Linked DNA regions of Sus scrofa. The protein of the gene in region 1 interacts with the protein of each later gene in a biochemical or structural test. Links are inferred from orthologs where the notes say so. Each region holds a gene or a part of one and is shown on either strand. Other genes may lie near its edges. The genes, in order: ERBB3, HCK, ITK, NCK1, FER, SHC1 and BCAR3.

What was found.
Region 2: the proteins of ERBB3 (region 1) and HCK form a complex in vitro, tested with the Homo sapiens proteins (2 studies listed by BioGRID and IntAct, with this or other methods). The link is inferred for Sus scrofa from reciprocal best matches to the Homo sapiens genes ERBB3 and HCK.
Region 3: the proteins of ERBB3 (region 1) and ITK form a complex in vitro, tested with the Homo sapiens proteins (2 studies listed by BioGRID and IntAct, with this or other methods). The link is inferred for Sus scrofa from reciprocal best matches to the Homo sapiens genes ERBB3 and ITK.
Region 4: the proteins of ERBB3 (region 1) and NCK1 form a complex in vitro, tested with the Homo sapiens proteins (2 studies listed by BioGRID and IntAct, with this or other methods). The link is inferred for Sus scrofa from reciprocal best matches to the Homo sapiens genes ERBB3 and NCK1.
Region 5: the proteins of ERBB3 (region 1) and FER form a complex in vitro, tested with the Homo sapiens proteins (2 studies listed by BioGRID and IntAct, with this or other methods). The link is inferred for Sus scrofa from reciprocal best matches to the Homo sapiens genes ERBB3 and FER.
Region 6: the proteins of ERBB3 (region 1) and SHC1 form a complex in vitro, tested with the Homo sapiens proteins (2 studies listed by BioGRID and IntAct, with this or other methods). The link is inferred for Sus scrofa from reciprocal best matches to the Homo sapiens genes ERBB3 and SHC1.
Region 7: the proteins of ERBB3 (region 1) and BCAR3 form a complex in vitro, tested with the Homo sapiens proteins (2 studies listed by BioGRID and IntAct, with this or other methods). The link is inferred for Sus scrofa from reciprocal best matches to the Homo sapiens genes ERBB3 and BCAR3.

What each region holds. Positions count from the first base shown.
Region 1 is NC_010447.5:21,493,379-21,495,540, forward strand, and holds the end of ERBB3 (receptor tyrosine-protein kinase erbB-3), read left to right. Parts: intron 1-10; coding exon 11-534; 3' UTR 535-1,662; downstream 1,663-2,162. UniProt on the Homo sapiens protein: Tyrosine-protein kinase that plays an essential role as cell surface receptor for neuregulins.
Region 2 is NC_010459.5:35,707,189-35,711,372, forward strand, and holds the start of HCK (tyrosine-protein kinase HCK), read left to right. Parts: upstream 1-1,384; 5' UTR 1,385-1,456; intron 1,457-2,097; exon of another isoform or gene 2,098-2,670; intron 2,671-4,184. UniProt on the Homo sapiens protein: Non-receptor tyrosine-protein kinase found in hematopoietic cells that transmits signals from cell surface receptors and plays an important role in the regulation of innate immune responses, including neutrophil, monocyte, macrophage and mast cell functions, phagocytosis, cell survival and proliferation, cell adhesion and migration.
Region 3 is NC_010458.4:66,079,464-66,083,528, forward strand, and holds the start of ITK (tyrosine-protein kinase ITK/TSK), read right to left. Parts: upstream 2,801-4,065; 5' UTR 2,642-2,800; coding exon 2,504-2,641; intron 1-2,503. UniProt on the Homo sapiens protein: Tyrosine kinase that plays an essential role in regulation of the adaptive immune response. Regulates the development, function and differentiation of conventional T-cells and nonconventional NKT-cells.
Region 4 is NC_010455.5:77,862,436-77,866,454, forward strand, and holds the start of NCK1 (cytoplasmic protein NCK1), read left to right. Parts: upstream 1-1,219; 5' UTR 1,220-1,378; exon of another isoform or gene 1,379-1,814; intron 1,815-4,019. UniProt on the Homo sapiens protein: Adapter protein which associates with tyrosine-phosphorylated growth factor receptors, such as KDR and PDGFRB, or their cellular substrates. Maintains low levels of EIF2S1 phosphorylation by promoting its dephosphorylation by PP1.
Region 5 is NC_010444.4:113,772,948-113,776,919, reverse strand, and holds the start of FER (tyrosine-protein kinase Fer), read right to left. Parts: upstream 2,801-3,972; 5' UTR 2,446-2,800; exon of another isoform or gene 2,442-2,445; intron 2,033-2,441; exon of another isoform or gene 1,930-2,032; intron 1-1,929. UniProt on the Homo sapiens protein: Tyrosine-protein kinase that acts downstream of cell surface receptors for growth factors and plays a role in the regulation of the actin cytoskeleton, microtubule assembly, lamellipodia formation, cell adhesion, cell migration and chemotaxis.
Region 6 is NC_010446.5:94,821,365-94,825,633, forward strand, and holds the start of SHC1 (SHC-transforming protein 1), read left to right. Parts: upstream 1-1,469; 5' UTR 1,470-1,825; coding exon 1,826-2,320; intron 2,321-2,888; coding exon 2,889-2,959; intron 2,960-3,548; coding exon 3,549-3,612; intron 3,613-3,764; coding exon 3,765-3,884; intron 3,885-4,160; coding exon 4,161-4,214; intron 4,215-4,269. UniProt on the Homo sapiens protein: Signaling adapter that couples activated growth factor receptors to signaling pathways. Participates in a signaling cascade initiated by activated KIT and KITLG/SCF.
Region 7 is NC_010446.5:123,646,571-123,650,070, forward strand, and holds part of BCAR3 (breast cancer anti-estrogen resistance protein 3), read left to right. Parts: intron 1-302; coding exon 303-955; intron 956-3,500. UniProt on the Homo sapiens protein: Acts as an adapter protein downstream of several growth factor receptors to promote cell proliferation, migration, and redistribution of actin fibers.

The DNA.
Region 1 (2,162 bases):
AACCCCCCAGGTACCTCCTCCCGGGAAGGCACCCTTTCTTCAGTCGGTCTCAGTTCTGTCCTGGGGACCGAGGAAGAAGAAGAAGATGAGGAGTATGAATACATGAACCGGAGGAGAAGGTGCAGTCCAGCTCGTCCCCCAAGGCCAAGTTCCCTCGAGGAGCTGGGTTATGAGTACATGGATGTGGGATCAGACCTCAGTGCTTCCCTGGGCAGCACACAGAGTTGCCCACTCAACCCTGTGCCCACCATGCCCAATGCCAGCACAACTCCAGATGAGGACTATGAATATATGAATCGGCGACGTGGTGGAGGGGGTCCTGGGGGGGATTATGCAGCCATGGAGGCCTGCCCAGCAGCTGAGCAAGGGTATGAAGAAATGAGAGCTTTCCAGGGGCCTGGACACCATGGCCCTCAGGTCCATTATGCCCGCCTCAAAACTCTACGTAGTTTAGAAGCCACTGACTCCGCCTTTGATAACCCGGATTACTGGCATAGCAGGCTTTTCCCCAAGGCTAATGCCCAGAGAACATAACCTCTGCTTCCTGAATACCTCAGGGAGCATTTGATGGCAGCTAGTGCCTCTAGAGGGTACCCCTCTTCTCTTTAGCCCCTCTCCCTCACAGGTCTCAGCGCCATTTCCCTAGTCCCAGACAATTCCATTCAAACTTTGGAGGCCTTAAACGTGTTGACACAACGTTCTTGTGGTATATAGCCAGCTGTGCACTTTCTTCTCTTTCCCAATCCCAGGAAAGGAGATAGTTTTCCTTATTTTGTGCTCTTTCCCAATCCTATTCCTCAACTTTCTCAGGGGAACTCCCTGGAGATATGAAGGATTCCTCCCCATATCCCTTTCTCTCAGACTCTGACTTGTTGAGACTAGGCTTTAAAGTGTGACTTTGTTTCCCAGCAGACTTTTAAGGAAGAGGAAAGGAGGGAAAATGGCAGGAGAAAGTGAGATTTTTGGCTTATGATTCTTAACCCCCTAGAAAGAATGAGATGCTTAAAAATCTTGTGAAGAAAGAGGTTGGGAGTATATAGTAATGATTACTGTTCATTGAACGTTGACTGTGTGCCAAGTATCATCTAAACTTACCCATCTCACTTAATCCTTGACACCAATTCTGTGAGCTAGGCATTATCCCATTTTACAAATAAGGAAACTGAGCCTTAAGGAGATTAAGTAAATCAAGTAGCAGGTCCAGGATTCAAAATTTTCCAATGCACCATGCTCTTAGTGTAAGGTGTCAAAGAAAACTGATGAAAGTCAGAGCACTAGTAAGAGGTATTGTCTTCTTGTGTTTGCACTGAATCAAGTCTAACCCCAATATCCACAGCCTCCTCCTACACCTGGACTGCTCATCTCAGCAAGTGGGAGTAAGGGGGTGGACAGAAGGAAAAATAACTGGACATCTCTGTGTAAACCGTAATCTTCGTGTGCTACATATGATATCTGCCTAAGGGACAGACTCAGACGGTCCCCAGAGCCATTTTTTAGGAGCAGTTCTCATTCAGTAGTGGGAAGCTTCCAGTGGAGATGAAAAAGAGGACCCGGCTTCAGACCTCAGTTCCTTTGAATGGGAAACTGGGAGTATCTGTTTTTATCCCTCAAGTTTTTGTTTTGTTTTTATACATGTCTGAATAAAGATGCCAAGGTTTTGCAGCTTCTTGTCTAACGACAAACTTTAGTGAGTGGACAGATCAGCCCTTTTCTCCGTTCCACAGCAGAGAATGGCTACCATGGCATGCTTCCTTCTCTGTCTCCCCACAGTCCTACTTGGCCCCCTGTAGCTTTCTCCAGCCCCACTTTCCTTATAGTCTCTTTAGACAAGCAAAGGGTACAGTCCTTTTCATTTAAGCGTTTTACTAGGAATCTGTATAGGGCAACCGACTAACTGGGAGTAACAAAACAACCAAACAAAACACGTTTGGGGCAGTTAGAAAAGGCCCCAAGAGGTAGAATACTGAAACTCTCAAACGTTTCACAACTTTAAAAAAAAGTGTCCGTCTTAGGTGCCATCAAAGCCTGTTGTTGGAACAATAGTGCCATCTTCAGAGGGAGCCGGCCTCTAGACTTGGAAGGCTGTACATGGATAATCCCACAGAAATCTGGTGCCCAGTTAGTCCCTGCTCCACGCACTCCGGGTCTCCTTCCACACTCGC
Region 2 (4,184 bases), on another chromosome or scaffold:
TGGGAATTCAAATTAAGACCAGTAGATGGTGTCAAGGGTCAATCAAGATATGGGGAAGTGACCACTGTGGCTCAGTGGAAACAATCTGACTAGTATCCATGAGGACGCAGGTTCCATCCCTGGCCTTGCTCAGTGGGATAAAGATCCGGCGTTGCCATAAACTGTGGTGTAGATCCCAGACAGCGACTCAGATTCTGAGTTGCTGTGGCTGTGGCGTAGGCTGGCAGCTGCAGCTCTGATTGGACACCTAGCCTGGGAACCACCATATGTGGTGGGTGCAGCCCTAAAAAGCAGGGGAAAAAAAAAAAAAGATATGGGGAAGTGGTGGGAGAGGAATCCAGGCAGCAGCCATTACGTAAGCATTCTTGGTCAAGCAATTCTTTATGAAATTCTCACATGGGTTCATAAGGAGACACGTATGAGGCGGTCCATTGCAGCTGTGTTTATGGTACTGTGAAGTAGTGTGCCGTCTGGGCATCCATGACTAGGGGAATGGATACATAGACTATGGAGGATGTAGACAACTACCTTTGGCAGCATAGCTAGATAGTAACAGTATCGAGTGATAGAGTGGGGAAAAAAGGCAAAACTGAATACCTACCACCCAAGTAAATCAAGCACACAATCAAAACATTATCTGCTTTTTAAAAGTGCAGGCATGTATTTAGGTACACACACCAAACACATAAGAACAGGGTTATTATCTTTCTCATTCAAGTTTCTGTTCTCCCTTCCCACCCCTCCTCAGATATTTGGTTATGTCTGGATACATTTTTAGCTGTCACGAATGGGGAAGAGGGTTTGCTACTAACATCTAGTGGATGAAATTCAGGAATTCTTTTCAATATCCTACTATGCACAGGACAGCCCCCAAGACAAAGAATTTCAGGACCTAAAGGTCACCAGTGCCATGGTTGAGAAGCCCTGTGTAGCCCAGAGCCCAGCACAGTATTGCTGAATGAATGAATGAGAGATGAAGGTGGCCTGAACTGGCTAGGAGCAGTGGGACTACAGAGACGCAGTAGGATTCTGGAGGTGTGTTCAGCAGAATTTTGGGTGAGAATCCTTCTCTTTCCAGGTGGAGATATGCTGTGCCCTTGCCTGGCGCTGGGCACATCTCTTTCATGTGCGGCCTCCACTTGCCGTCACTCAGTTTTGGAACTCCTCTGAGCTACCCGGAAACCGACAAGGAGTGAGCTAGGCTGGTTCCTGCGGGCAGGGCACTTTGCATGGATTTGAATAGCGAGGGGCCTGCAGAGCGGAAACCGCAGACCACAGAAGGGATGGGAAGGCTTAGGACCCGGCCTGGGGGAGGGGCCTGGGCTAGAAGGAGGGGTTTGGAATGGTGGGGAAACAGGTCGAAATGCTTGGAGGAGGGGGAGTGGATTTAGAATCCTGTACGAATGACGACAGTGGGGTGAAGATCCTCCGGAATCGGTTTAGAATCCTTTAATAGGTGGGATCAGAAATCCTGGAGGTCAGGAATGGAATCTTTGAATGGGTCGATGAGAATCTGGAAGGGGGGGGTCGGGCGTTTAAAGGGTATTAAAATCCTGTGAGGGAGTTCCTGATGTAGCCCAGCGGGTTAAGAACCGATTAGTATCATGACGATAGGGGTTCGATCTCTGGCCTCGCTCTGTGGATTAAGGATCCAGCATTACGGTCAGCTGTGGTATAGGTCGCAGACGAGGCTCGGATCCCGAGTTGCTTTGGCTGTGGCGTAGGTCGACAGCTGTAGCTCCGATTTGACCCCTAGCCTGGGAACTTCCATGTGCCGCGGGGTGCGGCCCTAAAAAGAAAAAAAAAAAAAAAAAATCCTGTGGGAACAGGTTAGGATCACCTAAGAGAGAGATTAGAATCTTTAGGATTAGGGTCATAAATCTTGAGGCCTGGGTTAGAATCTTTTTTAGAAGCCTTTGGTTGGCCGGGATTAAAATCCTGGGGGCAGAACTAGAAACCTCCCGTAGGCGAGGTTAAAATTCCTTCCGCTGTGAGAATCAAAATCCTTCAGGGCAGAATTAAGACCTTGGGAGGAGATGGGGTGTTGGGGTTCTGGGGAGGGCGGGGTTTAGAATCCTTTGGGACGGGGTTAGGGCTTTGGGAGATGGAATTCGAATACATTAGAGAAGGCATTAGGTTATCTGGGGGTTATGACCTTTGAGAGACCGGTTAAAATTCTTGGAGGCGGGGTTATCCTTCTGGAAGGAGGTTAGGATTCTTGGGGACAGGGTTAGAAGTTTTGGATGGGCGGGGTTTAAAAATAATTTCCTACTTGGTGGGATTAGGATTTTGGGGAGGTGGGGACGGAGATTAGAATAACCCGGGTCGGGTTAGAATCTTCGGGGGCGGGTTTAGGATACTCGGGGGCGGGGTTAGCACCACTCCGGGCGCGGCTAAAGCGCCCAGATGGTCTGTGGGCGCCAAGGCGTCCCAGGTCCTAGCCCGGGCGCAACTCTGGGCGATTGGGAGGGACGCAGACAGCTCAGCCAAGAGGGGCCCCCAAAAAACAACGCACCGAAACACCTCGGAGCGCAGCCCCAGCCTCTTCTCCAAAGTCACTCTCTCTTCCCTGCGGCACCGGCGCCCGGGCACCCCGGGATCTGCCGAGCTGGGGGGTCGCTCCAGTTGCGAGGACCCGGGCTGCCCACCGGAGGAGGAACGGGCGCCCAGGTGAGTTTCTCGGACCCAGGATCGGGCGACATCAGCTCGTCACCTTGGCCTGACGGTCTTCGGGCTGCGGAGGGAGCCCAGGGTGGAGAGCGGGGAAGGTTGGGCTGCAGCTGGAAGGGACCGTCGGGGAAGCGGATGACAGGTGGCCGGATGGGGGGACCGAACCCTCCGGGAGGATGCCCAGATAAATAGCAGAACTGCCTGGCTGAGAACCTGGGAAGGCTCGAGAGTGACTTTAAGCCTGAGCCGCCACTTCTCTGGGCGGTCCAGCTTCCCTTTCTGCAAAAGGAAAAAAAAAAAAAAAAAAAAAAAAAAGTCTTCACAGAGCCCGGGGAGGGGAAGACCCTTACGATTCCTGGTTGGGGTGGATGATGGTCACAGTCACGGCGGGTTGGCAGCCATAGTGGGGAAGGGGACAGCTGGCCGTAGGCGTGACGTGTGAGCCACACCCAGGCAAGGCTGCAGCTGGGTCTGCTCGCTGAGCTTGCTCCTCCTCCCACGCTGGGCCCTGATCCCCAGCAGTCTAGGTTAAACCCCAAAATCCCCTGGACAGACCACAGGATGCCTGGCCCCTCCCTTTCCTCCTTGTGAGACCTTGGACAAGTCACCCTCCCTTTCTAAATTCCCTTTCCTCATCTGTCAAGGAGCACTATCAATTCTTCCTTCCAAGGCTGCAGTAAGCTAGAGTGTGTTAGAGATCACTATTGTGGCAGTTTAGTGTAATAGTTAAGGAAGAGGTTTCTGGGAGCAATCTGCCTGTTGAACCTTGGGCAGGGGATCTGGTCTTTCTGTGCCTCCGTTTCCACAACTGTAAGATGGGGATAATTAAAATAATGGTTGTGTCATAGGGTTGTTTTGAAGGTTAGACTGAGTTATTGAAGGAAAGCTCTTAAAGCACTGCCTGACAGGTCGACGGCTTAATTGGTATTCACTACTATCACAGCTTTTAAGGATTAACCAAGTGGTTCTCGAACTTTATCTGTGCATCAGTAGCACCTGGAAGGCTTCTTACAACCCAGGTTTCTGGGCCTTGACCCCAGAGTTTGTGATGGAGTAGGTCTGGCACTGGAGCCCAAGAATTTGCATTCCCAGGTGATACTGATGCTGCTGGTCCAGGAACCACACTTTGAGAACCACTTTGGACGGCACAGACAAGGGCCTCAATAGATAGCAGTTCTCAAGAGTTCCCTGGTGAGTCAGTGGGTTGAGGATCTGGTGTTGTCACTGCTGTGGCTCAGGTTTGATCCCTGGCCTGGGAACTTCCACATGCTGAGGGCAAGGTCAAAAAAAAAAAAAAAAAAAAAAAAAGTCATTTAACATACAGCCCTCTGTCTCAAAAAACTATAACTGTGCCTTGACTGCTGACTGGGTCCCAGAGTTTTCTGAGATGCTCTTCCTGGGTTTAAATCCTCAAATTTGGCTCAAATAAAATTTTCCATTAGGAGTTCTCGTCGTGGTGCAGTGGTTAACGAATCCGACTAGGAACCATGAGGTTGCGGGTTCCATCCCTGCCC
Region 3 (4,065 bases), on another chromosome or scaffold:
AAATGATGATATAAATAATACCTATTTTTTACTAGATTTTCACAAGGTGACAGAACTTAGGCTAAGTATTTTATATATTAAGTTGAACTATATGAAATTGCAAATATTTGATCTTTTTTTGATCTGCCAAGTGGTAATTTCAAATAGATTAGTCTAAATACATTCTCTCTTAATTTTTACCATTTTTTCCCATGAAGTGAACACTATCATCACACCCATTTTACAGATGGCAAAATTGAGGCTTTAATTAAAAGTTAAAACCTTCGGGAGTTCCCATCATGGCTCAGTGGTTAATGAATCCGACTAGGAATCATGAGGTTGCGGGTTCGGTCCCTGGCCTTGCTCAGTGGGTTAAAGATCCGGCGTTGCCGTGAGCTGTGGTATAGGTCGCAGACGTGGCTTGGATCCTACCATGCTGTGACTGTGGTGTAGGCCAGTGTCTACAGCTCCTATTCAACCCCTAGCCTTCATATGCCGCAAGAGCGGCTCAAGAAATGGCAAAAAGACAAAAAAAAAAAAAAAATTAAAACTTTCTTCCCACAGTATAATGCTATTGTTATTTATGGGCAATGCGCAATGTACTCTTGTGTGCAAACTGATGGTCTTAAGCAATGGAATATCCATAGGGCATGAAGAATAAAAAATAACCACTTATCTTACTTTTCTCAGTGACCCTAGAAAAATTTCTAATCATAAATTTCTATAATATTTAAAGAAATACTTTGAAAATATTATTTATGCATATAGAACATACACATTAGAAAATAAGAATGTGAGGTTTGTATATTATATATCTGCTATTTCCCACATGGAAATATTAGAAACTATAGCTCAGGGCTCCCCAGAATGAATTCATTGTCTTAGAATTTTCATAGTGTTCGAATGAAGAAGCTGAATTATTCTACAACATTGTCTGCATACCAATGACAACAAACAAAATTTTGAAAAAAGACCATTTACTCTTTGCAAATACTATGGTACAGCATTCACAACCAAACAGTTCACAATTATGCTCAAAAAATGATTGGTACTAACTACATGAGGTGATGCTATGTTGAGTGTTGAATCAGAAAAAAAAAATTGGTGAAAACTGTAAAATTGCGTTTGAAAGAAATACTTACAGGTAAACAACTGCTCTTTGGCTATGAAACAAGAGTTTCTAATGTCCTATTCACAATAGGAAAAAGCTGACTGATGCTGTGTGATTAATCAGCTCTAAATGATGAATTCTCCAAGATGAAAACTTGGCTCTTGGCCCTCCATTAATTTTGTCAACCAACACTTATTGAATACCTACCAAAGGGGCCTTACACATAAGTAATTCCACATTCGTCCTGACTGGTTGGTGGATTATTACCAGTAAGAATCTGCCTAAGTTGATTCTTCACCTCTGAGGAAGAGGCAATATTATTTCTTCTGCGTCTTAGAAGCCCAGTCATCCATAGCCTCCATACCCAGTCTGGTCCCCTTCAGGACTCCATTTCACTGAACACTACAAACCCTGGCTCTTAGGAGACCCCAAACTTGTGCCTACACCTACTTAGTCAGATCCTAGCCAAGAAAGAAAATAACCTTTGTTTCTAAGTGACCATCAAGCACCTAACATTTTCCCCACCTCCCTGGTGATGGAAAAATAATACAATGACATAGTAAGAAGTCAAACTCACTTTGAAAAAATGCGAACAAAAGCTATACAAATGCTACTTCATAGAAAAAAAAAAGGAAGAAGAAAGGAATGTTGTAGGTAGTATTTCCAGTCCTTTCATTTCATAAAGAAAAAACCTAACGAGTAAAGCAGAGACACTGGCCCAGGCTAACTCACCTAGAGAGAAGTAGGCTTTGGTCTCCTGACCCCTCTTCCAGGGCTTTTTGTACCAAACTATGTTGTTAGGATTATTCATTGTCTCTTTTACTATTACTGATGTTATACAACATAAGAATATCATTAGATATATAAAGACTGACAGGTAAGTAGCTGCAATCTGGATAAGAACCTCTGCCTGGTACTGCACAACCCTTCATGCATGATTCCTAGTCTCCTGGGAGGTTCTCCAGGGATAAAGAGGTTTACCACTAGGCCTTGCAAATTTTCGACGGTTAAATGCTCAGGGACTCTTATTCCAAATGTCAGGTGAGTAATGAGATTGAGACAAATAAAACTGAGTCCATAAAAATGCTAACATTGGACCCTTCACTTAGCCATTGATTTGCCATAAAAAAAATGTAGTTTAAAAGTTAAACTTAACATGCAGGGAAAAGACAAAGCTAACGATAATAAACGTTCTTTTATAGTTTTTAGAACTAAAATCACCTAATACAATTATCCTGTATCTTGACTTTTCTCCATGTTCTCTTCCAATTACCCTTACTGTACGTTTTAGGTGGTTAAGAAGCACATCCGTGTTCCCTGTGTTCGTATTTTATTCTATGCATATCTTCATGATTCAGCCCAAACTCTAAAGTACTGTTTAAGAAAAAGACGAACAAGAAAGTGCTCACATACCCCATGGCGGTCCTCAAAATATGCCAGGCTGGTTTTGGTTAAAACAAAGAACCGGACTTTAAAGTTCGAAGGAGAAGTTCTTCTCTTTTGTTGGGATTTCTTGATGAGCTGCTCTTCCAGGAGGATAAAGTTGTTCATGATCCAGTTCTTGAAAAGTGATGCACCTCGGGCATCACCCCTCAGCACAACCAGAGCAAACAGCTTCAGGGAAAGGACTGTGACGGGGAGGCAGTTGATCTTCAGAGAGCTTTGTTCAAAGGCAACGTGCCTCCAATGTTATCGCTCTATCAACAGTCAGTCAACATCGCAAAGCTTCTCTGATGTCAAAGCCCATAACCACATCCTTTCGAAGTTCATAAAACTATGAGACATATGTAAAAATTATATATACCCTTTGCTGCATGGTTTAGAAATTATTTTTAAAGAACTTTAGACTCAAAATGACCTGATGGCCTTGAGTTTAATCTTTATAGTTACTGGGTTAGCCTGTTCAACCGTTGAGGTAGGAACATGGGCTCTGGAGATGATGCACATAGGTTGTGTAGTTTGTGTATTAGTTTTCCATTGGCTGCTGTAACAACTTATCCTTAAGTTTACTGCCTCACAAATTTCATTATCTTTCAGTTCTGTAGTTCAGAAATGTAAAATGGGTCTCATTGGGCTAAAATCGAGATATCAGCAGGATTGTGACATCCTTTCTAGAGGATCTCTAGGGTAGACTCTGTTTCCTTGCCCCTTCCAGCTTCTAGGACTACCTGTGCACCTTGACTGGAGGCCCTCTTTGTCTACATTTGAAGCCACCATTAGGAGGTCAAGTCCTCTCAACTCATACAACTCTGACCATTTCTGCCTTCCTCTTCAAATTTAAGGATCCTTACGATGGCTTTGGGTTTGCCTGGATAATCTAAAATAATCTTCCTATATCAAGATCTGTTTATTAGCAACCATAATTCCATATTCTACCTCAATTCCCCTTTATCATGTAAACGAATGTATGTTTATCATGTAAACTAATGGTAGGTAAGGATTAGGACAAGGACATCCTTACCTCCCACACCTTGGCTTCCACCAGCTAACTAGCTGTGAGACTGCAGCCAATTTCTCAAGAACAGAAAGCCTCAGCTTTTTTTGCCTACAAAGGGGAATAACAGCCCCTACCTGCAGCACTGTAGGGCTGCCTTCCAACTTGCTTGCCAGTCTCATCTCATAGCTCACTCATGGGCTCTCAGGTGTGCTCACATGCTACTTTGAACATCTGCTCACTTTACCTGAAAACATCTTTACTGCTGTGCTTTGCCTGCTTTAACTCTAAATTATACTGCTAGTCTCCTTCCTAGTTTTACCAAGTCAAACCCGCCAATTATATGCAAATGGCACCTTATACCACACCCCTTATGATAGTTACACTTTTTAGAGGGTGATTGTTGAGGTTAATGTTTGTCTCCCCCATTAGTCCAGAAGCTCCCTAATGGTAAGGACTATGTATGGTTTTGTTCACCATTATAAACTCAGACATCATTATGGTGCCTGGCCTATAAAAAGGATGTTTAGAAAAATGTGTT
Region 4 (4,019 bases), on another chromosome or scaffold:
AATTTTGGTAGGGAACACAATTCAGTCCATGATAAAATATGCAAAGGTATTTAGACCCTTTGAATAATCCAAAATTCACTTACATTATTCACTTTAGATGCTAGTTATGGGATATAGATGTAGAGTTGTTGCTGCCTGGAGTTCAGTGTGGTCTACTTGCTCTAGCCAACTTGAGGCCAGGAAGGGCTGGACCATAGGTGTTTTGTGCTTGACCTTGTGATCCTATATATAGCAAGTGAACCACACACCTCTATCAGCACGCAAACAATTTTGAAGTTAAATATAGAAAAGCAGAAACTCTTGGAATTTAGGGCCAGGATTAAAAATGGGATTGGAAGATGTATTAATGCCTAAACAATATTTACTGACGATCTAGCATGTGCTTGGCACTGGGGAAAAACTGTATACTGACATGGCTCCTGATTTAACTGAATGTACAGTGTCGGTAGGGAGACGGACTGACTCTTTCAACAGCTTAGGTGGGGACAATATCTGTGCACCTTGGCAGTCTTCCCTAAGGGGGCAACACCTAAGCAGAGCTACAGAGATGGCAGGGAATGGAGGGTGGCTGCAGTGCTGGCGTCGCGGGAGAACCAACTTACTGATGGCCGGTGACTGGGGCTGGGCCGCTAAGAATGGGCAGACCTGGCACCAAAGATCACTGCTCTCCTCACAGCAAGGCTTCTGCAGCCAAGACGGGAAGCTACCCACGCACCAGGACCCTTCGAAGGCCTTCAGACTCAGCTTATTTCTGTTTGCTGCTCAATTTAAGCATATGTCTGACATTTTCCTCTCAGGTCCCCATTTCCAGGTCTTTATGTTTGTTTTGCTTTTTAAGTTCCCCGCCCTTAAAAACCTTTTGCTGGCAAGACCTTCTTCAGATGCGGAAACCAGGAGGAAGCGTCCAGAATAGCAAGGGCTGACCTCGGGAAGCCGTCATTTCTGTTGTGGGTTCTCTCCTGTGGCGCTGAGAAAGTCCAAAGTAATCAGCTAGAGAGACAAAAGCTACAAGAATCAGATGCAGGCCCGGCGTTCCTCGCCCGCTCGCTCAAAGCTGTCTGCGGAGCCTTCTCAGCTCACTCCACACCCAGCACAACGCTTGATTGACAGAGGGGCCCGCCCACTCGTGGCGCAGCGCAGATCGCTCTCGCGTCAGTGATAGGAGGGAACGGAGCGGCTGAGCCTATTAGATGGGGCAGGGAGGGGGTTTCCTGCCCGCGCGGATCCGCCCGCGGCCTCGCAGCCAGTCCGCACAGCAGCCCCGCCCACTCGCCGCGCGCCCCGCCCCTCTCCCCAGAGCTACGCGGCGGCAGAGCGGAGGCCTCGTGCCCTAACGGCCATCGCGGTGGCCGCGGTGGCATCCCGGTGCCCTCCTCAGGTGAGCTGGGGCCGCCTGGGCTCGGCAAGAGGGGAGGTGAGACGGTCCTGCCGGCAGGCAGACGCACGGACAGCTTTTCCTTGCTTCCAGAGTCTTCACAGCCTGTTACTTGCCGCGGCACTTCCTCTTCCCCGGCGAAGTTAGCCCCCGGGGGCGCCGTCTGCCGGCCCCGAGTTGAGCCGGAGGGGGCGGGGAGGCCGCTCGTCCCGGCCTAGGCATTTGCCTGGCTGCTGCGCGCGACCCTCTGGCCACTGCCCTGGGCGGCGCGGCCCCGCGGCCTCCCTCTCCATCCTTTGGGAGTCCGGTCGTGTTGAGCGCAGCGGCCTGCGGCCCCGTGAGGCTGGGAGGTCGAATGTGTGGCGCGTGTCCCCCACCCCGTTTCTTTTCCTAACCAAAAGTCGTGTTGGCTGTTGTGGCGCAGTCCGAGGCCGCGAAGGTAGGGACGTGGTAGACGAGGACAGGGGCGTGCACACCCCCAGCTTGAGAGTGGGGGTAAGGAGCGTTTCCCTGTGTTGGGGGTGGACATCCTGGTGATGCGCCATACGCCCCCTCCAGTCCCCCCCTCCTTTCCCTTCTACTGGAAAAATACGGGTTATTTTAATCTTGTGGATTTGCGGTAGATTAGTACGAGAGTTGATTGAACTATGAGCTTTTGACTATATTGTGTTCTAATATATCCAGTAAAAAGAATGTATCTCGATAGTTGGTTTTGTAACCTTTCTTATCTGTGTCCATAAAAGTTAAATTAGCCGTCAGAAACTCGGGAAGCTGGATTTTGTTCGGGTCTGAGAACCCTAACATTATGTGCGCTCAGTTAATGTCTAACTAAGGAATTAGTTACCTAAAAATAATTCTGGCCGTTGGATTTGGTAAGAAACCATGAGAGTTAGGAAAGAAGGTAAGGAGAAATTTCTAATCCTGTATTGGGTGGTGAGCAAATAAGCTGAATATCCGGACAAAACTGGTAAGTGTTGCAAGAGGTATTCACTTTTTAAAATCTTAACTTCGGCAGATTTATGAAAGACAATTTGTACAATTTATTAAGCACTTGGAAAGCACTGTACCCAAAGTCTCCATCTTCAGCTATGAGTGCATAGTAAATGGGGAAATAATCCAAGAAGAAGGTTTTATCTGTTTGATAATTGTCAATAATGTTTAGTTCTTAAATAGGCATCCCATTCACAGTTTGATAGAAACTCGAGAAATATGCAGTGGTTGATTAATAGTTTTATTTTATCTTGATCACAAACGTGGGGACTTTCTTTTTTGGAAATTATGATTTGTAAGCATTCTATGCAGAATGGTCAAGATTTCTTAGCTGTGCTTGTTCATGTATTAAATTTTAAGTTGTTTGCTTTCTTTTTCTAAGCATTATATTTAGTCCAGATTTAGAGGTCTTTGTAAATAAAACTTGAAGCATACATCAAACATTTTTTATCATGCCATTGGATTTTTCTTTTCTTTTTAAATTTTTATTTATTTATTTTTTTGTCTTTTTAGGGCGGAACCCGTGGTATTTGGAGGTTCCCAGGCTAGGGGTCGAGTGGGAGCTACACCCGCCGGCCTACACCACAGCCATAGCAATGCCAGATCTGAGAGGCGTCTGTGACCTACACAACAGCTCATGGCAACACCAGATCCTTAACCCACTGCTCGAGGCTAGGGATGGAACCTGCATGTTCATGGATGCTAGTCAGATTGATTTCCACTGAGCCCCGAGAGGAACTCCATTTTTTCTTTTTTTAATTCAGTGAATTTTAGTACATATTTATAGTTGTACGACCATCATCACAACCTAATTTTACTCTTTTTTTTTTTTTTTTTTTCTTTTTCCAGGGCCACACCTGCAGTATATGGAGGTTCCCAGGCTAGGGGTCGAATCGGAGTTGTAGCTGGCGGCCTGTGCCACAGCCACAGCAACACTAGATCCGAGCCGAGCCGTGTCTGCAACCTACACCACAGCTCACAGCAACTCCGGATCCTTAACCCACTGAGCGAGGCCAGGGATCGAACCCGAAACCTCATGGTTCCTAGTCGGATTCGTTAACCACTGAGCCACAACAGAACACCACAATCTCAATTTTAGAACATTTCCTCCCCAAACCCTCAGTTCATTCCTCTATTTTATTTTAATTTCTTAACCTTTGAGAGCTTTCTTGCCAAAGCTCAAGGTAGATGTGATTATTGTTGTAAATCACTTGTCAGGAAGACTTAATAGATACAAATGCAGTCCATTTTTTTCCCTTATAGTTTAATAATTTTCACAATTTGCTCTCCTTTATAGAAAAATACCAAATGCTCTCTACTTATACCAGAAGACTAAATGATTTTTTAGTTATTTAGTTAATAACTAGGATTGGAGGAAACTCTTGAAATCACTAAGCACTTAAGTTCTCCATAAATACTTTGCTGTGCTGTTTTAGGAAGACTACTGACAGGGCCAAAAATGACACTTAAGGGTTATTTAATAAGGCAACAATTCTATCTGGATATTTCTCACTTTATTTGAAAGATAGAATTTATAGCTTTCCCATGAAAACTGATTCCATATGCTGACTTTGTCTTTAGTGATATTATTCTGCCTTAAATTAGCCAGACATAAAAATTGGTTTTATCTTTGACTTGTGTCCACATAACATTG
Region 5 (3,972 bases), on another chromosome or scaffold:
TCCAAAGATGCTCATTTAAAAACCAAGTACAGGAGTTCCCATTGTGTCTCAGCTGTAATGAAGCTGACTAGTATCCATGAGAACACAGGTTCGATCCCTGGCCTCTCTCAGCGTGTAAAGGATCCAGCTCCACAGCAAGTTGCAGTGTAAGTCATAGATAAGGCATGGATCAGGCATTGCTGTAGCTGTGGTATAGGCTGGCAGCTGTAGCTCCAATTCAACCCATAGCATGGGAATTTCCATATGCCGAGGGTGAGGCCTTAAAAAAGCAAAAAAAAAAAAAAAAAAAAAAATCAAGTACAAAACTATAATCTATTAACACAAGTCCAATTTTAAGACAAAACTTTTATTTGTATAACGAGTTATCAGATTTCGTTTTTTTCTGATTGCCAAAATGCAATTAATTCATTTAGCCCTTGATTTAAAAAGATGATGACTTTCTACTCACAGGACTGCTTTATAATAGTTTCATGTAATTAAATCAGTATAGTCTTTATAAACACTATTTCCATCTACAAAGAGAAATGAGTAATCCACAACATTTTGGTGTGATACACATATATTTATATAATACTGGTTTTCAAACTTGATAATTTCAGTTCCTCTGTTCCTGAGGATATATATACCATATAAAAGCCGTCTTGAAAATGTTACTGCTGTGTAAGTGGTGAGTACTCAGCACACAATCCAACTTTCCTGCATTGTTTGAAATTTTTCATAGTAAAATACTGGAGGAAAAAACTGCAAATGAGAAACATTCACAGACCAGAGTTATACATACATAACACTTTAAGATGAAAAGAATGTGTCGATCAAAAGCCTGAATCATTTCTTCAACTACTGATATCAACCTTTGAAATACGGCAGAAGCTGCATTAACTGGACCCTATATAATTTTACATAATAGGTATTTAATGCTGCCAACCACCAGTGTGTAAGAGAAACAGATCTTCACCAACTGTCTTTCATGAAAAAAACTAGAGAAAGGGTTGCCAAGTATGCCTATACACTCTCAATACATTTCCAATACTTCTGAAAGCATAGTTTTCTTGAGAGAACTAAGAGAAAAGATTTCCCGAATCACAAAACATACACTGAGCCTTCCTTTGTATTGAGTGACAAATGTGTGGCTCTTCACAAATATGTGTTCCTACAGCCCATGTAGCTACATACACCAGGACTACAACACTGCACAGTGAAATAATTACACTTTGCAACAGATTTTTTAAACTCCCGTTCCCATTCCATAGGTTGAAAAGTACTTTCTAGTCTTAATTACTAAAATAGTTTTGGTCTATTCTTACTGATTTTTCTATTACATTTTTATATCGGTGACTCCATTTGAGAATTTTTAAAAACATTTTAAATTATCTTGAGAAAAAGAAAAAATGGCACTACACCTTTAAGTTATATCAAATTGATGAGTACTATGAATACACGCAGCTTCGTATGAATTAAAAAGATTAAGATTTTTTAACCATAAGGCAAACGAAAATGAAAGTACCAGCCTTAATAAATTATTAAACTCTGGACTGCACAGTACTATATATCAAAATCACAAATGCCCAAAAGTAAAAAGCAACAACTTCACAGTTAATTTGTGCAATGACGTACCACCCTATCAACACCGACCCAATTAGCGGGTTTCAGAAAGTTGATCCTAAAGTAGACTAAGGCAGAGAGCTGACCCGAAGGTGACTCCAAACACCTCCTCAACCCTAAATGGCAAAGAGGGAATAGAAATTGCCTCAGTTGCGCTAGCTTCAGACTTAATCTATCCCTCGAGGGTTACCCCTGGCCAGGACTGAAATATGATGGAAGGTGGAGGATAAAAGGGGTGGTGAAGCTGACATGAGAAGAACTGGGGGCGGACTGCGCCGGTCCAGGGAGACCGCAGGGCCCCAGCGGTAGGAAGGGGTGGGGCAATACCTAGGGGGTGTAGGTGGCCGCCCCAGCCGGAGAGCCCGCCGAGTGAGAAGTGAGCGCGCCGAGAGAAAGGGGTGCAGGCGTGATGGGCGGTGCCCACAGTCCTCCCTGCAACGCCCCAAACCCCGCAGCCCCCAGACCCGGCGACGGGGCGGAGCCATCGCGCCCGCTCTGCCCTCTCGCGCCGGCACCAGCCCCCTCAGCGTCTAGTCCCGGGTGGGTGGGAGGAGCGGGCCTCGCCCAGCCGGGTGGGCAGCCCGGCCCAAGCCCCAAACTGGAATGCGCCGCCGCGGGCGTAGGACGGAGGCAAGACCCCTAAGCCGGGGGCAGGAGGGGGGTGGCTGAGGGCGGAGAAAGAGCCCTCGGCGCAGCCGCCGCACCAGAGCTGAGCCCCAAGCGCCCCCCTGCGGGCAGGGAGTATTGCCCCGGTTCTCGGCTGGCCTTCCCTACTCTTCCCCCCCTTCCCCGGTGTTGCCCCGGGCAACAGCGCCTGTCGCCGGTGGCGCGAAACTCACCTACCTAGAACCTGACAAGCAGGAGCCCCTCAGACACGGGAGCCAGTCGCCACCCCGCGTCACGGGGGCGGCCGGAGCCAATGGGCGCCGCTGTCACGAGCCTCCGCGGCCAATCCCGCTGTACTCCGGTCTCTGGGCACCCTCGAGGTCTCAGCCAATGGGCACCAGCAGAAGGCGGGCGCTGCCTCCCGACCCCCAACCCCTCTTCCACCACCTCCCAGGAGGCGGGGCGCGGCAGATTGGCCGCGGCCGGAGATGGGTGGGACTCGGGCTCCGAGCCCGGTGGGCGCGCGCGGAGTAGAGGTTGCGGGCGTGGCGAAGGGAGGCGTGAAGTTGCGTCGGCTGCTGTCTAAGCCCGCTCCCCGCTTCGGCCCGGGTCCCGAGGTGCTTCTGTTGGCTCTGCTGTTCTGGTCCCTTAGCTCGCTCCTCTCTGGCTGGTGTCTACGCTGCCAGGATGGGAGTGAGGGCGGGATGCGGCCAAAGGCGGACAGCAGCGTCACAGGAAACTTTGGGAGTCTCGCCTGGCCGCGGCCACTTCCCGGCCGGGCCGGGGGGTGATAAGCTGGGGCCGCCTGGAAGGGACTACCCGGCGGGTCGGCAACCGGAAAGGAATTCGGAGGGTGGGGGTGGAGGCGTGATTAAAATGTTAAGTGTGCCCGGGGGGTTGCTTGGCGATCCCGGGTGCTGAAATTTCCAGGAATGGGCGCGGACCCTACAGCCCAAAATACCCAAAATACGCAGTTTTCACCCTCAGAATCTGTGGCTCTTTCTGTATATCTTACTTGCAGCTATTGTAACGTTGATTCCCTTGAACTAGTTTTCACCTTCCCCAATGGACTCGGAGTGCCTTAAAGGCGAGAACTGTCTTTCTCGTTCCTATAATTCCCATTGCCTGAGACCCTCTTTTTAAAAAAAGTTAGACACTCAGTGTTGCAGTTGTGATGGAGGCGGTTAAAAACTTTACGGCAGGTCTTGTGAGTAGACCCCTGCAGTAGGTCCCTAACTCTTCCAGAGTCTAGAGTGTGTGAAGAACCGAAGTTGGTTTGCTCCTCCAGTGAGGGTTGTTCCTGAAGCGTCCTTGACCAAAAGAATTTAGTGGAAAATGAGAAATTCGAACTAAACGAAGATAACTAGGAGATTGGTAACAGTGTGATAGGTGTTATTAGTCACTATTCCAGGGTGTGTTTCTGTAGTCCATTCTTAAAGGCATTGTGTTGTACGGTGCACATTCTTTCTCTGGAGCAAATTCTAAGGTCAATCCTGTCTCCACCCTCCTTTTCCAAAACGGGTATTCAGTGGGGGCCAAAGAAAAGTGAATATTTTTTCTAAACAGAGTTATTTATTTTACTCTAGGTAACAGCCCTACATTTAGAAAAACAAATTTTAAATAGGACTTTTGTTTACTCTAAAGAAACTAAAACATGCTGTAAAGAAAATTTTTTTTCATTGTATTATAGAAGTTTTAATTGTTTATTTGTATTTTTTAAGCCTAAAAGACGTTGTATTCTTATATTATTCTGCAGTTGAGATT
Region 6 (4,269 bases), on another chromosome or scaffold:
CGATGCCCACACCTGTTGGTCATCCACGACCTCTGGATCCTGCAGGCAGCCACCAAATGCCTGCCTCTGAAGATGAGCACATCCTGGTGTGTGTTTGTGTGTGTGGAAGGTGTGAGGCTCCGGCAGCATACTTTCTTCATTCTCTCTAGGCCTGGGAGCTGAGGCCTTAGGAAAGAGAGCCATAGAGTTTCTTCCCAGGAGTGGCAAATGGAGTGGCAAAGCTCTCCTCCGTTGTGGACCAAGAGGAGGTGATAAGCACAGTGTCTGACACGTTCGAAGTGCTGGTGCTGTTGATCACTATAATCCTATGATTATTTGCTGTCTTTTTATCCTGGGAGATAAATTTAAGGATAGATATTCCGAGGCCAGCCTGGGGGGCTATATATATCTTTCACTCTTTATTTCTTGGTCACTTTCCAGCTGCCTCCATGGCCCCCTCGAGCAGAGCTGGCGTGAAGCTGTGGGTGGAAGGAATGGGTTTGAGACTGTTTCCTGTGTCCAGCCTCAGTCCTCCTTTTCCTGGCACTCCTTTCCCCTTGGCACAGATTGGTCTTCTGCCTACCCTATCCCTTCGTGGCCTGTAGCCCCCGTCCCCCTCCTCTTGGAGAACTGTTTCACTCTCCCCTCCCCAGCCAGACGCTGCCCCTGGCGGGGTGGGGCCTCGGGCTCTGTGGTGGATACCTGTACTCTCTAGGGTCCCTACGGCCAGAGGAGGGGTAGGAGCTTACCTGCAGGTCCAGGGCACTGACGTTAGTGTCAGTGCCCTGGCAGCCCCCACCCCTCCTACCCTTGATAACTTGCTTGGCTGCGGAAAGTGGTGGGGGGCTGCAGAAGGGTGCCTGGCATGAGTTGCTGCTCCTTGGCATGGTAGACGCCATGCAGAGAACAAGCCTCCACCAGCCTGTCGTCTGCTCCGGCTCCTGCCTGGTGGCTCCCTGATGCAACACCCATCATGATGATGAAGTAAGGGACTTCATTCCCTTACTTCACCAGCTCTGCCCTTCCCCTTGGCCCCTCTCTGCATCCACCGGGACCATGTCCTTCCTTTTCCCATTTCTGTAGCTCCCTCCCCGGCTGTTGCAGCGGAGGATGCTAATGACCGAGACTAGGGGGTGCTGGGGGATGAGGGAATCTGAGTGTTCGACCAGGACAGGAAGGGAAATGCTGAGCTCAGGGATCCCCTCCCTTTCCCACCCCCAGCTGCCTCTGTTTCCTCCCTCATTCCCCACTCCCCCCACCAGCTTCCTGCTCCCTTTGACCTGCCCATGTCCGGTTTGGATTGATCCAGACCTCCTCTTATCGCCCTCCTTTCCTTCTCACCCCTCCATCCTTCCCTTCCAATCCCACTCTACTCCTCCCTAGATTACATGTTGTTTGTACGGGGTGGGCCGGGGTGGGGGCGGGGGGGGGGACGGGGGTGGGGCGGGCGGTGGGGGCACGGTGCACTCTGCCCCGAAAGAGTTCTAGGTTGGGGCGGTGTTGGGGGCTCAGCCCCTCAGAGCCTGTGAGTCAGCACTGTCCACGGGATTGGTCTCTCCCCTTTGCTCCCCGCCCCTGGGGAGGAGCCAGGCAGCTCTAGGTCCAGCCTGTTCTCCTCTCAGCCAGAGAAGAGGCTCCACGCTGGGCAGAGATGGGGCCTGGAACTGTCTGGGTCTGAGCCGCGGGAGCCAGAGCCACTTGTCCCTCTCCCTCCCCAGGACCCTTGAGACCCCTGGGCCACAGAGGTCCGATCAGGCTAAGGGCCTGGGGATGCCCCCTGCCTGGCCCCCTTGCCCTGACTGGCAGGGGGGCCAGGCTGGGCAGCAGCCTCCCTCTCACTCCAGCCATGGATCTCCTGCCCCCCAAGCCCAAGTACAACCCACTTCGGAATGAGTCTCTGTCATCGCTGGAGGAGGGGGCTTCAGGGTCCACTCCACCAGAGGAGCTGCCTTCCCCGTCAGCCTCGTCCCTGGGGCCCATGCTGCCACCTCTGCCAGGGGACGACAGCCCCACCACCCTGTGCTCCTTCTTCCCCCGGATGAGCAACCTGAAGCTGGCCAACCCAGCTGGGGGGCGCCCAGGGCCGAAGGGGGAGCCAGGAAGGGCAGCCGAGGATGGGGAGGGGACCGTCGGGGCAGCTGTACCCGACTCGGGCCCCCTACCCTTCCTCCAGGACATGAACAAGCTGAGTGGAGGCGGCGGGCGCAGGACTCGGGTGGAAGGGGGCCAGCTGGGGGGCGAGGAGTGGACCCGCCACGGGAGCTTCGTCAATAAGCCCACGCGGGGCTGGCTGCATCCCAACGACAAAGTCATGGGACCCGGGGTTTCCTACTTGGTTCGGGTGAGTGAGCGTCCTCCCTCCCTGACCCCTTCAGTTCCTCTGCTCATGAGTCTCTCTTTTTCGCCCCTTCTTTTCCCCAGCAACTCCCTTGGTTTCCGTGTCCTGTTTCTTAAGCCTTTTGTGCGCCTTCTCTGATTCTGTAGCCCCTTCTCTTCCAGCTCTGTCTGGGTCCCCTTGGGTCCTGCGACTCCCCCACCCCTACCCCCAGCCTGCCATGCTCAGCACAAAGCCCAGGACAGGCCCTTAGTAAGTGTTGGAATGAGTGGCTCTTGAGTGACTCCCCTCCAGTCTGCTCCCCCTTTCTGGAGTTGTCACTCCATCCCAGCCAGGGCCTGTCGCTCCCCTCCAAATTCCCTCCCCCCACCCCCCACTGTGCAGGAGGTCCTCCTAGCTCGCCCTTCTCTCCTCACCCCCTATTGTCCTGCACTCTGTGGGATGGAGCCACGGGCAGCGGGGCAGAACTTCATCTCTTCTTCCCTGAGGGACCACGTAGGGCAGAGTCCTACGGCCCTTTGTGAAGAGGCTGGAGGGGGGCGGCTGACTCTCCTCCTCGCATCCCTCCCCTCAGTACATGGGCTGTGTGGAGGTCCTGCAGTCGATGCGCGCCCTGGACTTCAACACCCGGACTCAGGTCACCAGGTTCGTGGGGAGGCGGGGCCGAGAGCGCAGGGCTCCTGGCATTCAGGCCGGGAGGGGGTCGCTTGGTGGTGGTGGCTAGTGCTGGCTTGTCTTTGGGTGGGGAAGGCGATTTAGAGACAGGTAGGAGAGTCAGTCTAAGTCTCAATGAAAAGAGACAACTCTGACCCGGCTCCTTCTACGTATCCAGCCTGGGGAGTTGTGGGGGAGGTGGCAGAGGCAGCTGGCAGCTGGAGCTTGAGTGGAAAATGGGGGTAGATGGAAGGTTGCTGCCCGCCGCTGCCGCCGCCACCACCGCCGCCACCACCACTGCCGCCACCACCACCACCACCACCACCACCGCCTTTGGGAAGGGGCTGGGACATTTGGTAGCTGGAAGGGGGTGGGGCCAGACCCACTGAGGCCCTAACCCAATCAGCCAGGAAGCGGCCTCTCAGTGTCATCAAATATTAAAGGCCCTTAATTCAATCCACCACGACAAAGAGCCTGGAGTGCCCCTGGAGTCTGGCCTGGCCTTCCCCTCCCCCAGCCCTGTGGCAGCCCCAGCCGAGTGGGAGGCAGGCTCTGGGTCTGAGTACCCCTCTTTCCCCAGGGAGGCCATCAGTCTGGTGTGTGAGGCTGTGCCGGGTGCGAAGGGGGCGACAAGGAGGAGAAAGGTACCTGGGGTCCACGGCACGGGGGATGCTGCCGGGAGATGCGGAGGAGCAGGGGCAAGGCTAGTGTGGCGCGTGTGGGGAGAAGGGCAGGAGTGCGGGCGGTTTCCTGGTGTGGGATCTCCCAGCTTCTGAGACCTGGGGCCCTTCCCCAGCCCTGTGGCCGCCCACTCAGCTCCATCCTGGGGAGGAGTAACCTGAAATTTGCTGGAATGCCAATCACTCTCACCGTCTCCACCAGCAGCCTCAACCTCATGGCCGCAGACTGCAAACAGGTTGGTGGGGTGGAGTCAGGGTCAGGGCGGGGGGTGAGGGCGTGCAGAAACACCGATGGGAAGGCTCAGTGGGAACCTGGCCACGAGGGCAAGAACTTAGCAGAGAAGCCTTGGGCGCAGCAGAGCTGTAGGGAAGGTGTAGATTAGGAGGACATGGGTTGAGAAGCCAAAGGGACGCTGGGGTCCCGGGCCAGTGGTGGGGGGTGCCCAGTGGACCCTCAGGCTGCCTGACACCCGTCCTTCCCTTCCTTCTCCATCCTCTGCCCTAACCCTCAGATCATCGCCAACCACCATATGCAATCCATCTCGTTTGCGTCCGGCGGGGACCCGGTGAGTCGGGGAGTGCACCAAGGTGGTGGGAGAGGAGAGAGGGGCTTGGGATGGG
Region 7 (3,500 bases), on another chromosome or scaffold:
TGCCCTCCAAGCTCATCTATTTCCCTGTTCTGACGGTACGAACCTTCTGAGACCATAAAGTGACATTGCAGCCCAGCTGTCAGTCGTCACTGGGGCTGAGATCTCCCCCAGAGGTCGGGCGGGGCCCCGAGCCTTTGACCTGCTCCAGACCGGCCTGCAGCCGTCCTGCTCACTTCTCTCTTGAGGGTGGACGTTGAAACCCCAGGGCCCAAATTGAGGACCAGCAGCCGCCACCCTGGCTTTGTCCTTTTCGCGTTCTCCACGCAGCTGAGCCTTTTCTGAGCCTCTCTTTCCCTCTGCAGGCGGGAAGCTGCCCCCCCAGTCCCCAGGCGTGGGCACAAGCCCCAGCCCCGGCTCACCTGTTTTCAGGACCGGCAGCGAGCCCACCCTGAGCCCGGCGGTGGTTCGGAGGGTCTCCTCGGACACCCGGGCAGGGGAGGCGCTGAGGGGCTCGGACAGCCAGCTGTGCCCCAAGCCGCCCCCCAAGCCCTGCAAGGCACCCAGCCTCAAGGCGCCCCCATCTCCAGCCGTCTGGCCCCCCTCGGAGGCCAACTACTGCGAACTGAACCTGGCCTTGGCCGCGGGCTGCGACGGGGCCGCCCGGCCGCCCCTGTGTGCCCAGGACAGCTACGTGGAGCTGCTGACGGCCAAGCAGAATGGGGCGCCGGGACCCCGGACCTCCGACACCAGCTACCTGATCCTCGATGACGACGACGGGGCACGGCCGTGGGGGCCGCCGCCGGCCCGCAGGGACCAGGGGCGGGAGGACGAGGGCGCGTTTGTGCGGCCCCTGCTGGAGACGGCCTCCTCCTTCAAGCCCAACGACTTTGAGTCGCAGCTCCTTCCTCCCGAGAACAAGCCCCTGGAAACGGCCCTGCTGAAGCGGGCCAAGGAGCTGTTCGCCAGCCACGACCCCAGGGTCATCGCCCAGCACATGCTGAGCGTGGACTGCAAGGTAGGTGCGCGCGGCGGCTGTGGTCGGATTTGCAAACATTTGGAAAGAGCCTCTGCCTGGGCCTCGGTCCGCCTTAGCTTGGACATGCTTTTTGCTCACCGGAAAGCTCAGGTGATAACCCGGGCGTGGGGTTTATTTAAGGGGTGGGAACTGCAGGCCGGACAACCCTTGTCCAGGCGGGACGCTGGTGAAGTTCACGTGGGACAGAGGGTGGCGGCCCAGGTCGTGCCTCTTCTCCGTCCCCACCCCTGCTGTGTCCTTCTCTCTGCTGCCGTTCAGGTCTCTCCGCGCCTCAACTCCATCAGAACAGGTAAAATCGAGTCCAAAGGAGACAAAAGTGTAGTTTCTGGAGTGACAGAGCCTTGGTTGCCGTTCTTTCCCGATGCGCGATCCATGTATCAGTTCTATTCATGCATGTGTCGTCGTTATGAAAATAGTCTTTAGGATAAACTTTTTTTTGTTTTATTTTTGGCCACCCCATGGCACATGGCACTCCTGGGCCAGGGATCGAAATCTGAGTGGCCATCATGACCTAAGCTGCAGGTGCGGCAAGGCTGGATCCTTAAACCACTGTGCCAGGCTGGGGATCAAACCCTCGCCACAGTGCTCCCAGGACGCCACTGATCCCATTACGCCACAGCAGGAGCTCCCAGGATGAACTTTTTTTTTTTTTGCCTTTTCTAGGGCTGCACCTTTGGCATATGGAGGTTCCCAGGTTAGGGGTCTAATTGGAGCTGTAGTCACTGGTCTACACCACAGCCACAGCAACGTGGGCTCCGAGCCACGTCTGCAACCTACACCACAGCTCACGGCAACGCCGGATCCTTCACCCACTGAGCAAGGCCAGGGATTGAACCTGCAACCTCATGGTTCCTAGTCGGATTCGTTAACCACTGAGCCATGACAGGAACTCCTAGGATGATCATTTTTAAACTTGCTTGCTCAATTTAGAAAAATAATAAAATACAATTGTAAGATACAATTTTAGAAAACATATACAGTGCAGATTAAAAAAGAGAAAAAAATCACACTCAATCCAGGTTCCTGGTGATCCTCCTGGTTAACAGATGACATGGAAATGATTGCATGCGTATGTAAGTGTTTACCACAGAGCTGGCACAGGCCATACCTGCCATTCCAAACCCTTGTTGTCTTTGATTGAAGAGCATTTCATGATTATCTGTCCAGGGACCACATAAAGCCATGCTTACATCATCACTTTGGAGAGGAAGCGTTTCTTTTAGCCATGGTGGCTTTTGCTGCTTTTTTTTGAGAGAGCGATTTCTAGAGAGCAGGTGTTTAAGGCTACAGCGTGCTCGGTATCAAGAGGCGGATCCCTACATTTGAGCAACAGATAAGGCCTTAGTGCCATGGCTTGTAGTTCAGTAAAGAAAATTAGCTTCAAAGGTCAGGGCTTGTTGAGGAACTGGGTTTTCCTAACTCAATTTCCTGGGTCATGAATCATGGCAGGAAATGCGGAGTCAGAGCACTTTCCACCCCCACACCCTAGAGTCCCTCAGTTGGCGAGGCTCACAGCAGCACAGGGGGCCTCCCCAAACCCCTCCGGGGAATGTTAAGCAGGTACTGGCTGCTCTGGGGTGAACAAACCCCTTCCTTGAAACAGGACCGAGGCTGGGTCGTGGTCCGTGTGAGTGTAGAGGGGCTGCCAGGACCAGGGCTGTCCCGCGTGTTTGGCTGGGTATCCTTGGGCACTGCCCACGCGGTCAGATCATTTGCCTTGTCAAGACCTTACCGCATTGTAAAGCAAGCTCAACCTGTTTGGGCAGGAAGAGGATTTAGGTCCTGTTGTAGGAAGTTCATGATGGGCCCTGGATCTGAGAGCAGAACCACACTCACCGGCCAGGAACCCGTCTGGTTCTCCAGGGAGGAAGCTCCTTGTGGGAGCGGAGTCTGCGTTCACAGAACATCCCAATTCTCAGCAGAGGGTGACTCCCTCTCCCCTGGGGCCTCAGGTGGGCTTGGTGGGAGTCTCGGAGGACGCAAGACGCCTGACCACTCTTTGCAGGACAGTCTAGAATCTTCCCACTGGCAGCCGTGAAGCTAGAGCCAAGTCTGTTCTCAAATGAAGGACTGGGCAGCCTGCCCACCTCCTCGTTCTGCTTCTCTGTTTGCATTTTGTCCTCCTGGTGGGGGATCACTCCCCCGCCTGCCTGCAGGCCCCCATGAGAAGAGCAGGGGGTGGCTGGAATGGCTCATCATGGGGCACCGCTGTCACTGCCCAGCTCAGAGTCAATGCTCTAGAGGTGTTGTCCCGCCTCTGCACCTGTGAGCTGCGTGGCCCTGGGCTTTTCCAGGAGACCTAATCCAGGCTCTGCACTGAGCTCAGGAGCCCTTTGCCCCAGAGCTGAGCCTAAGGACAGGCAGGTGTCGGCATTTCCTGGTCACACCCCCGGAAAGTGACTGGACTGCATGTTTACACAAAGGAGAGCAGACTGGAGGTTTCTCTGGTGGAGAAGGGAACACTCTGGATACTTGTGCTTCCAGAATAAAATGTGTCAGCGACAGGCCTTGGACTCTCATTACG